Linked DNA regions of Alligator mississippiensis. Each later gene encodes a partner of the first gene's protein in a complex. Links are inferred from orthologs where the notes say so. Each region holds a gene or a part of one and is shown on either strand. Other genes may lie near its edges.

The links. Proteins that work in one complex are often made in the same cells at the same time.
Region 2: POLR3C (region 1) and POLR3K share a complex: the UniProt entries of both Homo sapiens proteins name them as parts of the RNA polymerase III complex. The link is inferred for Alligator mississippiensis from reciprocal best matches to the Homo sapiens genes POLR3C and POLR3K.

What each region holds. Positions count from the first base shown.
Region 1 is NC_081838.1:17,696,157-17,704,116, reverse strand, and holds the start of POLR3C (DNA-directed RNA polymerase III subunit RPC3), read left to right. Parts: upstream 1-4,862; 5' UTR 4,863-5,086; intron 5,087-5,287; 5' UTR 5,288-5,434; coding exon 5,435-5,581; intron 5,582-6,276; coding exon 6,277-6,532; intron 6,533-7,557; coding exon 7,558-7,743; intron 7,744-7,869; coding exon 7,870-7,958; intron 7,959-7,960. Other genes in the region: E3 ubiquitin-protein ligase RNF115, read right to left, coding at 4,518-4,610. UniProt on the Homo sapiens protein: DNA-dependent RNA polymerase catalyzes the transcription of DNA into RNA using the four ribonucleoside triphosphates as substrates.
Region 2 is NC_081836.1:21,216,954-21,224,078, forward strand, and holds POLR3K (DNA-directed RNA polymerase III subunit RPC10), read right to left. Parts: upstream 2,842-7,125; 5' UTR 2,785-2,841; coding exon 2,674-2,784; intron 2,465-2,673; coding exon 2,377-2,464; intron 800-2,376; coding exon 672-799; 3' UTR 543-671; downstream 1-542. Other genes in the region: SNRNP25 (U11/U12 small nuclear ribonucleoprotein 25 kDa protein), read left to right, coding at 2,874-3,017, 3,210-3,300, 6,691-6,796. UniProt on the Homo sapiens protein: Core component of RNA polymerase III (Pol III) which synthesizes small non-coding RNAs using the four ribonucleoside triphosphates as substrates. Can mediate Pol I proofreading of the nascent RNA transcript.

The DNA of each region.
Region 1 (7,960 bases):
CATAAGTTCCTGAAAACAGTCTCGTTTCCACATCACAAATCTCATCAAGATACTACTGGCAGCTTACTTGCTGCTTCCAGAAGCTACAGCACTCACCCAACAGCTATGGCTGTGAAAAGGCTAACAAAGGACCCTGCCATCTTGGCAGCTGCCGAGTCTCCAGATTTCTTTTACAGTGAAGACAATAGCTTCCCTGCCTAAAACATGCACCTTAATTTTCAGGTGTGTGTGGGAGACGGGGCTGCACATGGTACATGAGAAAATATGGTAGCAATTGCCTCATCTTCATTAGGATTTTACCAATGAAAACAGGCCTGTACCCTGAGCAAAAACAGGGTCTTAGAGATCTCTCGACTGTAAACGTCCCAATGAAGAGGCACAGCTGTGTTGTAATCCTGTCTTGGCTGCATCGCCAGTACAGTCAAGATGGGTTCTTTATACTGACAGAGGACAATCTTTTTGGCAGGTGTGCCACAAATTATCCCCGTACCCTCCCCGAGTGCCACTCTGGTCCCCTTCCCGACCTGCTGCTCTGCTTTCTGTTCCCTACCCTGTGCTGCATGTTCCCTGCCTCATCTGCCACACTCCCTGCACACAGCCTAACAGTGGTATCCACACTGTAAGTTGCCCACCCTTGTTTTATACCATCCTCGTGGCTGAGCTGCCTGGCACCGAATGCACCGCCAACACCACGAGAACCGGCATGCAGGGATCATTTAATCCATCTCGAGACGCAGCCAAGGCCCGAGGCGACAGGCAGTAGCTGCTGGGTGGCAGACAGCTGAACTGAGCAGCGGAGCGGCGGGGATAGTCTCACACGTACAAGGGTCTGCAAGTGTTTTTGACGAGCAAGGAAATATTATAAGGAAACAATGTGCCCCCGATACACCCCCCCCCCCTTCCAATGCAACTGCAAGAGCCATTTTCGCCTTGTGGCTGGAGGAGAGCCAGGAGGCCAGGCACAAGGATCTCTCCTCAACAAAATGAACAGCAAGATCTTTAATAGCAAGGATCAGCCAGGATCACAGCAGAGCCGGCAGAGGGGGATGGGGCCGTGTCCAGGATCACTGGGCCCTTTTGGGCTGGGAGGAAGGAGGGGAATGTCTTTAAAGAACAACCAAAGCAGGCAGCAGACATTTGCCTCGCTGAGGGTCCCCACCACAAGAAAGCCTCTCCAATCCCCCACGCGCAGTCAGACGTCAGGCCGCTTGTCCTCCTCTTATTTTGAAAGGGAGGCAGAGCCACAGGACATGCACCAGCAGCACTGTAGCCACCCCAAATGGGTGATGAGGAACATGGTCACCCCGCTATCCCCCACCACACACACACAAATATATGGGGCTGGCTTCCAGCCAACATAACTTCCAAGATCCCCACTCCTCATTAACTGTTTCCTATGTCTATCACTGCAGAACCCATTGGCCACGTGTGGATTGGTGTAGCCTGGGAAGTGGACAGGCCAGAACATGGCTTGTGGCAAGGGTTGCCCTGCCCTGCAGAGATCCCCTGGTGGTGTGTGGCAGGGAGAGGACCGGGGGAGAAGGATGACATACTAATATAACCCGCTGTTGTCCATTCTGGGTGGATCACAGCATTGGTTCCTGACTCAGGATCTCTGGCAGCTCTGCAGCAGCCCACTGAGATCTGACAGTGTGGGGGAGGCAGCCAGGTCCCATCACCATCAATAAACCCTGATGGAAGTCAGGCACTGGCTTCAAGAGATGGTGGATCCATACATCTGCATCTTCTCCAAGGAGAGACTGATACTCTGCTTAGATAACCCCCGGTGTAAAAAAATCTCCTCCAGGTTTTACAAATCAACTGCCAGACTCCCTCGCTCCGTTCAGCTGGCATTACCCTCATCTGATAACGCCTGCCAGAGTGCTGTCAAGAAAAGCTCCCAGCTTTGCAGAGAGGAAATTAGCACAGAGAGGGGAAGTGACTTGCCTGACGTCAGAGATAAGTCAGGGGCCGAGCTGGGATGAGAAGCCAGGAGTCCTGGTTCTCAGCTGTAATCGCTGGTTCACACTACCTCCAGACAGACACGCCTGGCAGAGACCTGGGCCAATGCAGATTTGAAAGGAGGCCCTAATCAAGGGCACTGAAAACAGCAGCCCCCCCTTACCCACACACCCCAGCTGAACCCAGCAACTGTCACGGTTGAACAATGGGGAAACTGAGGCACATAGAAAGAGTGCTTTGCCCAAGGTCAGAGAGGGGATCAGCTTTAGAGCAGTGATCCGAACGCAGGCATTGTCCTCACCTAGTCTGACGCTCCTGGCTGAGCCTTGGCCAGAGATCACGAACACACAGGCTCCAGAAGAAGTGGTTCCAGAGTCTGGTCCCAATCGTGCTTCCAAATGACGCTGGCTACTGAGAGCAGGAAGGAGCCATATTCTCCCACCACTCAAACAGCCTGGAAGAAAAGAGCCATCCCCTAACTCAAGCCATTTCCTACCAGGGATCAAGGGCAGAGAAAGGTGTTGCCACCCTGTGCAGGAAAGAAAAAGCAGCAAGATTGATGGGTTTGGCTTGGTTGGTTCCAGCCCTGAAGAAAGTATTTATAAAGCCTGGGAAATATTTGCCACTTCTGAAGCACCCGCAAAGATAGGATTATGCTTAGCGCTGCTGAAATGCAGCCACCTCTGGGGTGGAGTGCAGCACGTCAAGAACACAGCTCATCACCCAGTGACAGCAGCGAAAGTGAATTCAAAGCCAAGGCTGTGACGTTGCTCTGGGTTTTAAGAAAAGTTTTAAGAAAAACCAAGCAAGGCAGGCAAACCACTCTCTTTTGCAAAGGCAGCCAAGCAAAGCCCTGCCTGGGCCTTCAAGAAGGGATTTCAGTCCCCGAGTGAGGAGACTGAAAACAGGCACTGGAGTCCCAGCAAGAGAGGAAAGACATGATGCAAAGACGCTGGAAAGAGCACGTTGCCCAGCCCCACTGTTATGTGCCGCTCAGACAGCCGGGCCCAGAGGCTGCAAACAAAACGTGCTTTGGCCATCAGGAAATCCTGAGTCCCGGCTACGGAAGGGAACGGGCTGCGAACGATTCAGGGCAGCGTTTCTCTCTAACAAAGGAGAGCTGGAAGAGCGTGGGGGGCCTATCCAAGTTGGCAGAGGCAAAACGACGGGGAATTCAGGAGCAGGGAGCGAAGAGACCATGCCAGAAGGCTGGGCTCTTAGCTGCAAGGACAGCGGGCCAGGATGCTGAGATGTAGCACCTTGGGCTTCTCCTGGACAAGGACGAGCCGTGCCGGGGCTGCAGGAACACTGATACCTGAGCATACATCAGGCAGGGGCAGGGCAGTCATGTCATGCCAGGCTGCTACACTGCGTGAAATCAGGCACCTTGCCACCTCCATCCCTGGCAAGGAGAGGACCAGCAGCAGCACAGGACCTGCTCTGCTCCTCCATGGGCCAGGGGGACGCCCTGGATCTGCCCAGCTCATGCCACCCCCTACCCACAACTTCCTCAGAGCCAGAGAGCACGGAGGGACCTCAAGATCCAGGGGGCTGTGATCTTGCCCCAGCTGCCGAGGATCTCCTGGCCACGCTCCCGCTCAGCAATGAGGCAAGGGGTCTCTCGCTTTCAGACCTGGGGAAACTGAGGCATGAAGGGGAGGGGACCATCCCCACAGGACACAGAAGAAGCGGCACCTGATCTGGTTCAGGCTCCTTCGGCTGCCCCCCCCACGCCCGACGACACCTCGGGTGACAGGACAAGCAAAACAAGGATGCCCGGAGACGCTCGACTGCAAACAAACCTGCCTGCTACCTTGGGCATGTGGCCGAGCGGAGCCTGCAGCCCCCCTGCCCGGCACTGGGGGAGATGCCAAGGAGGCAGCCGGGGCTGGGGCTCTGCCAGGCGACCCCCTCGCTCCCCGGGGCAGGGAGACGCACCCTCCCTCACGCTCTGCCCCCAACAAGGCTTTTGAGGCAGCCGGGGGGACTTCTCCGCTCCCCCCACCCGGGGAAGGTCCCTCTGAGGAGTGGGGCTTTCCCCCACTGTCAAGGGGGCTGGGGGGGTCCAACCCCCCCCATGGGGAGGTCCCATGGGCCAATGGGATGCGCCGTCACTTCCGGGGGGAGGGGCTACCCCTGGGGGGGGGCTGATCCCCTGCATTGCCCCTCCTCCCCCCGAGGGGGCATTTCCCCTCCAGGAGGTGCTTGGGGGGGTTAGACCCCCTCAGGGGCAATGCTGGGGTTCACCCCCCCCGGGGAGGGTAGCTGGGGTCACCTTCTCACCCACTGGGGGAAGGGATCACCCCCCCCAGCCCCAAATCGAGGGGGGGGCAAGTGGGGTGAAGCCCCCACTCGGGAGGAAGGGCAACAACCCCTCCCCAACTGGGGGCTTCTGTATTTGCCCCTCCCCCAATGAGGGGGCTCCGGCTCCAGTCCCCTGAGGGGGTCGCCCCTCCCCCCCGGAGGGGGGCGCTGAGGTTTGACCCTCCCTCCGCCCCTTACAGCGGGGGGGGCGGGATGCAGCCCCCCAACCCGGAAGCCCGCGTCCCTCTTACCGGCAGCTTGGGGTTGACCTCCCCCTTGCAGCTGTGGCAGAAGAAGCGATGCTGGGACACGGCGGCCGCCGCCGCTGCCGAGGCCTCCGCCATTTTCTCTCCCCCTCCCCCGGCTCCCTGCCTGCCGTCAGTCCTCCGGGAGGAGCAGCGAGACTACGGGCGGGCCGGATAGAACGGCGGCGGGGCCGCTCTAGCCCGCAGCTTACTCCCCAGTCTCTTCTGCTCCGCTGCGGGAAAACGGAGCCTTCCGCTTGAGCAGCGAGGCGGGAGGGTAGAGCGGTTCCTCGCTACTTCCGCGTTCCAGTCCTCCCAGCAGCCACAGAGACGAGGGGAAAGCCAGAGCGCCACCCGAGAGTCCTCAATGCGCTGGGCGACGTTAGACGCAACGGGAGAGGGAGAGAGCGCCCCCTGGGGTCCTCCAGCGCCACCAACGAGAGGTAGCTAGAGCGGCCACACCAAAGAAGCGAGCGGAAGTGATCCTTGTTGAACTGGAAGCTGAAAGCCACGGGGTTGCTATGGTTGCTGTCGGGGCCTAAAAAAATTCGACCCCCTCCCCTCCCCTCCCCCAGGTGAGATGCAACCCAGGCGTCGGGACACCCCCTCCCCCCCCCGGGCCTCAGCTCATCGTCTTCAGCCTCAGTTTCCCTTGGAGGGGGAGGGGCCCGTCTCTAGCCTCAGTTTCCCGAGTGGGAGTGGGAGTGGGGGTGGGGGGAGGGGCGGTTTGATACAGCTGCAGATGTGAACCCATCAAATCCATTTCTGGCACAAAGCGTGAGCCGCCTCGAGTCCGGACTGGACACCGCAAGAGAAACCGGCATCTCCGCATCCGCCCGGCAGCGCCGACCCGTTGCATCCCTCGTGACGAAACCGCGGACGTTCGGACCCGACTCGACGCAGGTGTGCGGTTTGCCGGCGGGATGACGCAGGCGGAAATTAAGCTCTGTTCTCTGCTGCTGCAAGAACATTTTGGAGAGATCGTGGAGAAGATAGGCACGTACCTCGTGCGGACCGGCGGGCAGCCTCTGCGAGCGATTGTCAGCGACACCGGCACCTCCCTGGACCAGGTACGTCCCGGGCTGCGCCAGCTGGCGAGTCGGCGTCCGCACGCTCAGGGGAGCCGGCTGTGCTCGGGCGATCTCCGTACAGCTCGTCAGTTCCCGTCTCCGGAAGGTTTCCCCACTTCTAAAATCTACGTGCGAGACACAAATTGGCGTAAAGGAGGTGCTGACTTGAAAGCAGATTTTTTTTTAAAATTGGGATAGATGGTTTCATCGGGCTCCTGCTGCGGTCCAGGGGCGTCTTTGCCACCAGTGTTAACGAGCGGATCCCAGACGTTACCTCCCTGCCGCCGGGCGAGTGGGGGGTGCCGTTGAGATCTAGCTGGGAAAGGAAGGAGCGAAGCTGGAGCAGGGGATGGAGGTTAAGGGTGTGAAAGACTGAGCTGTTTAACAATTAACGGTGAATCAGAACGCAGCGCCCTGCCCCGGACCTCGCACGTTGCCTCAGCTCTGGTAGCCTGAGATGCCCTGGGAATTCGCAGCATCGGGTGAATTCACTTCCGTGGTGAAAGCTTAATAGCTTTATCCCAAGCTGATAAGAGCTCATGAACACAGCACAGATACTGCATCGTTCGAGTTGCCAGCCAGCCCCCCCCAACCCTAACCCTAACCCCTCCCCCCTTCACACACCCCTCCTCTTAGTCCATCGATGGTGCTGTGCGTTCCCAAGTCCGTGACTTGTCCCTTTCCGGCTCCCACAGGTGAAGAAAGCCTTGTGCGTCCTCATCCAGCACAACCTGGGCACCTACCAGATACAGAAGCGTGGCTTCGTGGAGTACAGCGTCCAGTGCAGCCGAGTGCTGTGCATCCTGCGCTACCCGCGCTACATCTACACGGCCAAGACCCTGTACGGCGACACGGGCGAGCTCATTGTGGAGGAGCTGCTTCTCAATGGCAAGATGCCCATGAGCGCCGTGGTCACGAAGGTGGCTGACAGGCTGACAGAGACCATGGAGGGTGAGTGATGGGGGTGTTGGCATGGCTGAGAGACGGGATGGGGACTGCTCCCTGGGGCACCTCATCTGGCTGGTGCTCCCTGGATATATCTCGCCACTGGTGGGATTGGATCAAGCTCAGGGGAATAAGAGGATTCAGCACCAGGGTGGGGGATGTTGAATCCAGACCATAGGGAAGTGATGGATGGACATCTGCTGGGTGGCATCAGTGGGTTTTGTGTCTTGGAAGGGCTGTGTAGAAAACCAGTGCGCCAGTGATTCCCCAGGAGAGAGCTTGGGCTGCCAGCTCCAGGGATGGGGGAGCAGCAAAAGATAAACAGCAAGTCAGTGCTCATGCCAGAGACAGAGCTGGTTTGCGGGCATATGCTCCCACCAGACATGATGGTATAACACGTGCCAATGTGAACTTGTCCCTGTGTCAGGAAACCAGGTTCAAGGCTGCCGAGTTGGCTTCTTCGCTGCCGCAGACTCGCTGGAGGACTTGATCAAGTCGAAAAAGACTTGATCAAGATCTTCTCCAGGTCTCAGTTTGCCTATATGAGTTCTGAGGTGAAGGAGGAGCATTTCCTGCCTAGCTTGTGTCTTAAAGATGAGTTTCTCAGCTGTGGGCTGAGATGGGAAACCCACTCTGGTTGTGCTTGGATTTTCCCTCACCTCTGCGCCGGTTTCTCTGATAGATGCATGTCTAAGTAGCTGGCCTTATCAGTATCTAATCTGCCAGGAGTGGGGTATCTGAGCTGGAAACAGGAGACTAAACACTTCTAAACATGACCTTGAAACTTCAGGTGCCCAGTGTATGACACAAGCCTGTTCAGCATCCCTGAAAAATCAGGTCACCTCAAGTAACCCCCTAAAAAACCAGAGGCTTCCAAAACCGCCATCTGCCTCTGAAAACCCAGCCCATGGCCTCTGAGGCTGGTAGGAGCAAGGGCAGGGCATGGGGTTGTAACCCAGCTGGCACAGTGCTAGCAGCTGGGCAGTCAGGATCACGAACATTCACCTTCTCCTTGGGATCCTCCTGTCCAGATGGGAAAACCATGGACTACACTGAAGTCTCCAACACCTTTGTCCGCCTGGCAGACACCCACTTTGTGCAGAGGTGCCCAGGGGTCCCCGATGCTTCTGGGCCATCAGATTCGGCAGCACCTCCTGCGCCTACGCTGGTCATTGACGAGAAGGACATGTACAGCGTCCCCAGACTGAACCTCATAGGTGAGGAATGAGCTGAGCCACCCTGATCAGGGGCACGGTGGGAGCAGGAGGCATGATGAGAGTTTGGACAGGAATCCACGTTCAGCGTGATGGAGTCAGAGGGGAACCTCTGTCTTTGGCCTACAGGGAAGGGGAAGAGGAGGCGATCGTGTGACGATGATGATAACGGCGAACACAAGGCGAAGAAACAGAAGCAGGATCTCGAGAGCCAAGAGGT
Region 2 (7,125 bases), on another chromosome or scaffold:
TGAGCACACGTGCACAGAGATGCACACACACGCACTTAAGTGCAGACGCAGACATGTCCACACACACAGACACAGCTTCCCCTCCCAGGACCTCCCCATCACACTGAGGCAGCCATCTTTGCCCCCCCCCCACCACCCACTGACCGGGAGGGAGCTGATGCTGGGCTGTGTCCCTGCAGCCATGCATGTGCAAGGGGCCAGGCTGGCAACACTGCACCCCACCTCTCATTCAGGTGGCAGTGCTGGGAGGGGCAGGTCCAGGTGATAAGGTGAATGTTGGGGGGCTGTGGCCCCCCCCAGCGCTGCTCCCTGCCTTGCTGCACAGCACAGCGCTTCTGGTCCCCCTGCCTGCACTGCACTGCATTCCTGGCCAGCCCAGCCCCAGTCTACCTCCCCAGCTCCACTGGGGGAGGGGCCCCACATGGCTGCAGAGAAGCAGCTACAAAAGCTGTGATTTTAAAGTTGGCACCATTTTTTTCTCCCTCCTGGGAGAGAGAAATGTGCCCAGTTTAAAACCGCACGCACACACTTGCCCAAAAGTGTTACAGACAGACAAAGCCCTTTATTATATTAGAATTAGCATTTCACATTCAACAAACCAGATGGAGATGCTTTTTTGGATTTTTTGTTTTGTTTTGAACAAACAAGAACTAACACATATGATAGGAAAGTTAATCCCTCCACCTGTGGCCACACTGAGCATTACAACACTTATAAAATGTGGTCATAGGCTCATCAGCTGATCTGGTCTGAATCTGCATGAAGTAGGCACGTGGATGTTCACACTTGGGACACGGTTCTGAAAAAGAAACATTAGAAGTGAAGTGAGCTTGGCAGAGCAATTCTTCCTTATGTCACAGAGGGGTGTAGGTAGGTTCTACTTAAATTCAACCTTCCACAAACCATTAACCCAAGAGATGGATTTTTTTTGTAAACATTCCATCTGCCCAACTTTAAGCTCCAAGAAAACTTAATGGAACTTTAGGGGTAGGATCTCTAACACAGGACATTTCCTGTCCTTGAGCACACTCCATTACATCAACTGATTAAACAAAATCAGTGAGGACCATCTAGTTTCTTAAGAGTTGCAGGAGATCTGAATAACCCTGGCTACCAAAAGGCCAGCATGTCTCCTGCAGACTAGAGATTAGCAGAAAGCAAGTCCCACTCAGAGCTAGGAGTAGAGAAGGACTAGCACAGAAATTACAGCAGTTTCATGAAACCAACCAGGACCAGCAATACTGCCACAGTGCAATTTTGGAGTCAGGTGGTCTTCTCTCTTTTGTAAGGAGGTGAGAGAGGCAGACATGTCAGATTAAAGATAAGGCACACAGGGTGGAGAGGGAGATGAATTCCATTTTCTATGTCAATTCACAGGCCAAGATGTGTGTAGGGCTTCAAACTCTGCTTCTGAATCCACAGCAGATTCTAGCTGCAGGCTTTACACAAAATTATCTATATTTGATAGATAACATCTTATGTTGCATCTAAACATCACATTTGTTTTGTACACGACTGTCGTATTCAGCACTTCTAAAAGGGAGCGTGCATTTAATTTGTCAACTACCAAACACAATTACTGCTCTGTTTTCTCGTCTTTCTTTCCCCTTTATTCATTTTCCCTAACTCGCAAAAGCAACGGTAAGATTTCTCTATTCAATCCAATTCCCTTTTCTGAAAGAACTTCTAGGTCCCACTCTCAACTGGGCCATGCTTCACTTCTGTGGCCTCTTCATCTTACTACTATCATACTAAAATGATCAAAGCTAGGACATTTTGTCAAACTGTGGTCGCCAATCCATGGTTTGTGGCTAACATGCTGGCCATAAAAACCCTCCACTACTGCTTGGAGCCATAGGAAATCAAGTGAATTATCACAGTCAAGCTTTAGAATAACACCATAAGATGACAAGAGAGAGAGGGAGCTGTTCACATTTCTCAGAATCATCATTTCAAACTGCTTAGTGACCCAGAAAGACAGCACTGTAGCATGCATGTGGAGCTTAGTGGGCAAGAGAAGAATGGATAAACATGACCCTTCAATTGTTTCAAGTATTGTGGCCCAAGAACCATCCCTCGCAGCACCATGAGTTCCCACTGTCCCTGTGTGGAAGAAGCACAGCTTGTATCACTTCAGGATCCATCTTCCTTAAGTGCAGCCCAGTGCAGACTAATCCTCCCACCTACTCAAGGCAGTGGCTTCTCTTGCAGAGCAGATAGCTCAGCGTGCCTGCATGCAAGGCACTGGGCTCGAGAACAGTGTGGGGCAGCGGGCTGAAGCCGAAGGCGCCGCTGGACAGGAAGCACCAGCAGCACCTTTCGTGCGGGGGCGATGAGCAGCAGGACCGACGAGGCCAGGCCGGCACCGGCTCTCACCTGCTGTGGAATCCACGTTTTCCCAAGCAGCGGCGCCTCCCAGGACGTCGTCCACCTCCTTTAGCTTCGGGTATTTCCTGCTGGTCACCTGGAGGCGCCCGGAAAACTCACTCGCCTGCAGCCCCGTGCTCGGCCCCCCGCACGCGTCTCATCGACTCCCCCCCCGCACCCTGGCGCAGCCAAGAGCGGCCGCAGCGCCGGCGGCTGCTACACGGTGTCGGCCAACGCCGCGAGCCCCGCCGCCGGCTCCGGGCAACGCGAGCGCGCACCCAGCGCTGGGGGGGGGAAGGGCGCTACCTTGCGCGTAACGTTGCGCACATAGGGACACGTGGTGCAAGCGAATCGGTGGCAGCGCGGCCCCTCCTCAGCCACCAGCACGTTGCCGCAGGCCGGGCAGAAAAGCAGCATCTCTGCGCCAAGCAGCCAGAACCCCGCCCCGCCCCGCCACTTCCGGCGGATCAGGTTCGGCTGCCACGAGCCGCCGCGCGGGCCGGGCCATGGCGGCGGCGGACGGAAGCGGCGCGGAGGCTGAGGCCGAGGAGGAGGAGGAGGAGCTGGCGCACGCAGAGGTGCTGGAGCTCTTCCAGGAGGGGCTGGTCAGGCTCGTGCAGGACCCGCTGCTGTGCGACCTCCCTGTGCAGGTGGGTCCAGAGCGCCGCGTCCCCCGCGCTGCGAGGGCGCCCGGCGTCGCGGCCTTTCCTAGCGGCTCAGAGGGGCCGGGTGCGGGGCGCGGCCCACCGCTGCAGGGAAGCGACGAGAGTGCCCGGAGCGAGGGAGCTGCTGGGCGGCCGGGGCGGGACTCATGGGCGCGGCCGCTGTTCTGCCCCGGACAGGTCACCCCGGAGGAAATCAACTCCCAAATCGCGCTGGAGTACGGCCAGGCCATGACGGTGCGCGTGTGCAAAGCCGACGAGGAAGTGATGCGTAAGTGCTTTTGGCGCTGCCCTTGCTGGGGTTGTTTGGCGGCTGCCCGGCCTCACGTTGGCTGTGCTGGCTTTGTGGGGATGGGTGAGCACCGCGCACATAGGGACACGTGGTGTTGAGACGGGGATGCTAACCTGTGGGCATTGTGCAGGGGCAGCATTTGTCTTCTTGCTCCTGCTGCTGTGGAGCAGTCTTATGTCATGTAGTCCTTTAAATATGCTTGCTCTTGAAGAGCCTGCACAGTGATAATGTTCAGTCCTGTTCCCTACGAGTTCCAGCATGTCTGAGTGCTCTGCAGCATCTGTCGAAAACAGTGGAGGACCGCACAGACATGGAGTGGAAGGAGATGCTTTAACTGAAATGTATATTAGTTGGTAAGCCCTTGGCATCAGGACAGGCAGTAAAGCCCTAGTAGTACCCTAGTAGTAAAGCCAAGCAGACCTGGGGTCAGATCCATAGATAGGGACCTACTAAATTCACTGCACAAGTGGGGTGCACTGCTGCTCCTTAATCTTGCAGGTTCCCCCCCCCCCCGATTAGTGCAGGGGCCACACTTGCAGCTTGCTCCTGGTTGGTGGTTAGGAAAAAACTGCAGTTTTAAATAGAGGTGCAGTGATATATTGGTACATATCATATCTGCACCAATAAACGTAAAACTGACATTATTGGCAATCGGCTTTTTTGGCTGCTGTGAGCAGTAATGTTGCCAATACATGCTGCGTGCATGCACACAGCTGCAGCGCAGCACAGGACAGCACACAGGTGGCCAAGAGCGCAGCCTATCAGCATGGAGAGCAGCATCCAGCTGGTAAGTCGAGGGGGGGGGGGGGGGGGGAATGGGTTGGGGGTAGATCAAGGCCCCCACAGTGAAGAAGGGAGTGGGGCTGGGGCAGGTGCTGCACAGCCAGGACAGGGCACAAGACCGCCATAAGCGGCTTGTCTGGATGGTGTACGGGGAGTCACATTCCGCTGTTGCATGCACCCCCAAGGGAGGGATGCCTCCTAGATCTGTGCACAGAGCAAAGGCAAGCTGCTGCTGTGCACTTGGGCCAGGAGCAGTGTCAGGCTCTGCCTGATGGGTGGGGCTTGGGCTTGGGCTGCTCTCAGGATGGGTGGTGCTGGGAGGGGGGAGCTACAGCCATCCCAAAATTTGCCATAGCCCCCTGTAACCTCAGCCTGGCCCTCACCACTGGAAAGAGTCTGGTGCCACACTGTGCACACGTCCAGGAGGCACGTGCCCCGCTATGCCTCCTCCAGGAGTGCACGCAGTGTCTGCCCCTGTCCTTGCCCCAATCACACTCCATCCCTCACCATGGGGGCCTTGTTTTGCCTCCCCCCCCCGTGCCCCTTCCCCACAACAGACTTACCAGCCTGATGCTGCTCTCTGAGCTGTTGGGCTGTATATTGGCAATTGGATCAGTGTCAGCCAATGTGGCTTGTTGCTAATTGGCCATCAGTATCGGCCCAAAAAATTTTTATCAGTGCACCCCTAGTTGGCACCATTTTTGCCTCCTGCCGCTGACTGGCTGAGGGGCCCCAGTGGCCCTGATGCTTGTTGCTGGCTGGCGGGGAGGCAAAAACCACACCATAATTAAAACCATGGTTTTCATTTCCTACCAATTAGGAGGGAGCAGTGTGCTCCCTATGCCAATCAATAACTGCGGGGAGGGGCACACGAGGAAGCATGAAAGATTGAAGGATCTGCCATGTACCCCACTTATGCCATGAATTTGGTAGGTCCTTATTGATAGAGAATAGCGATTAATTTCTGGTTCCCAAAGCTAGTCTTTTGATATTGGTCTTAATGCCTACCTTGTTGTCACAATATGGTGACATCTTCTAGCAAGTGGAGAAGAAATTACATATGTGATCCAAGGTGGGCAGTTGCAGTTTGGTGCATTGAGTGGACTGAGATGGCTGGGGCACAATTTCACGAACCTCAGCCCAGCACCCTGAAGTACTTAGGAGCCAGAGGAGTAGGTGTGTAATTGGGTGAAGTACCTGATTAATACCCTACCTTGGTGGCAGGCAGAAATACAGCTTACTGACAGTGTTCTGTAATGATTTCTCATTTGGTCCGTCACCTCAAACCTGCCTCTATCAAACGTACGAGGTTGGAGCTTAAAGGCTGTAAAGCAGAGGTGGGCAATTATTTCAGGCGGAGGGCCGCTTACCCAGTTTTGGCAAGCTGTCGAGGGCTGCATGGGTAGCCCCGTCCTTTGACAGGTGCCCTGCCCCCTGGCCACCATCTTGGGAACAGTGTCCCAATGTCTTGGGATTGATGTCCCAGGGCCAGCACCGGTGGGGCCCAGAACAGGGTGCAGGCTGGCAGGGGTCTGTGGAGCTGGGCTGCACCAGCAGGAAGAGGGGGGAGCTGGCCCGGCTCCATAGAGCCTCTGCCAGCTGGAACCCTATACCCCTGCTCTGGGCCTTGCTGGGACACCGGTGCGAGCCCTGTGTTCCTGCGCCCACTCATTTCCAGTGCCCCCCCCCCCCCCCCCCCAGCCCCATGGTACAGGCTTGGGGGAGCGCACAGCCCTGAACCCCTGCTCACCAGCAAGGAAGGAGCTGGTGCGGAGCGCAGGATAGAGCCACCCCTTGTCTGCCCCATGGTCCACACTCCCTGCTGCAGCCATTCACACATCGCGCAGGGCTGTCCTGAGCAGGCACAGGCAGCCCCAGGCGGGTGGCGAGCAGCTGCAGTGCAGGGGGTGGGCGAGGGGCCGCTTTTCCCATGCTCTGGACCAGCTTGTAACCCGCCCCCACTGCCAGCCCCGTGTGGGGCTCTGTGCCTGCTCAGGACAGCCCCATGCATGCTGTGAGTGGCTGCAGTAGTGAGGGCTGGCCATGGGGTGGGGGAGGGGCCGCTTTTCCCTGCGTTCTGCACCAGCTCCTTCCCTGCCACCCTCCCTCCCCACCTTTACCTGAGCTTCCTCCCCTGTTGGGGCTTCCAGCTGGGGGGCCGGGGCCGGAGGGGCCCTGCTGTTGCAGGATCCTGCTGAGGATTCCCCTGGGTCCTACTACCCCTTGTTCCTGTCATTTTTGATGGGAACCAAGGACAAATGCATTTTAATTTTCTACATTTTTTTTAGGGGCCCTGCGGGCCAGATAGTGTCCACAGGCCATATTTTGCCCACCCCTGCTATAAAGCAACCTCCTTTGTGAAGACTGACCCAGACAGGAAGACTTAGCCATGTTCATTCCTCAGCTATTCAGTTGGGTTGGTGCCCTCTAAGTTCCATCTTCAGGCTGGGTTCTGGAGTGGTTGTGGCATAAAATAGCTCCTATTATAAAGTGCAGCTTCTAGCAGGTAAGGGTAGGGCCTGGAGCTCTGCCTCCTTTCAGAGCATATCTCCTGGTGTTATTAATTGCAAGTCTTCTCCCCTTCAGCTGTAGTAGTGGTACAGAATGCCAGTGTCCAGGACCTGAAGAAAGCCATCCAGCGGTATGTGCAGCTGAAACAGGAGCGGGAAGGAGGTATACAGCATGTTAGCTGGTAAGCTCTCAAAGAAAGGCAAGGTGTGCTGTGGACAATCTAAACTTCAGCACTACCCTCTTCTTCTGCAGTAAGGGCTGCATATAGCAGTCACCATTCTATTTTCTTTTTGACTCTCAAATTTTGAGATTTTTTCTGTTTTATAGTTTTGCTGGTGTTTGATCAAACTGAAAGAATTGCCTGCTGATGACTAGCTGGTAAAGTAAAGTATTTTCAGGGGCTTAGGAAAAGCCTGTGCAAGATTCATTTGAGACAGGCTGAACGTCCAGCTGCTTGGTCACTGCAATTTGAGATGAGCACCACGACCGTGAAAAGACAAACTGCACAAA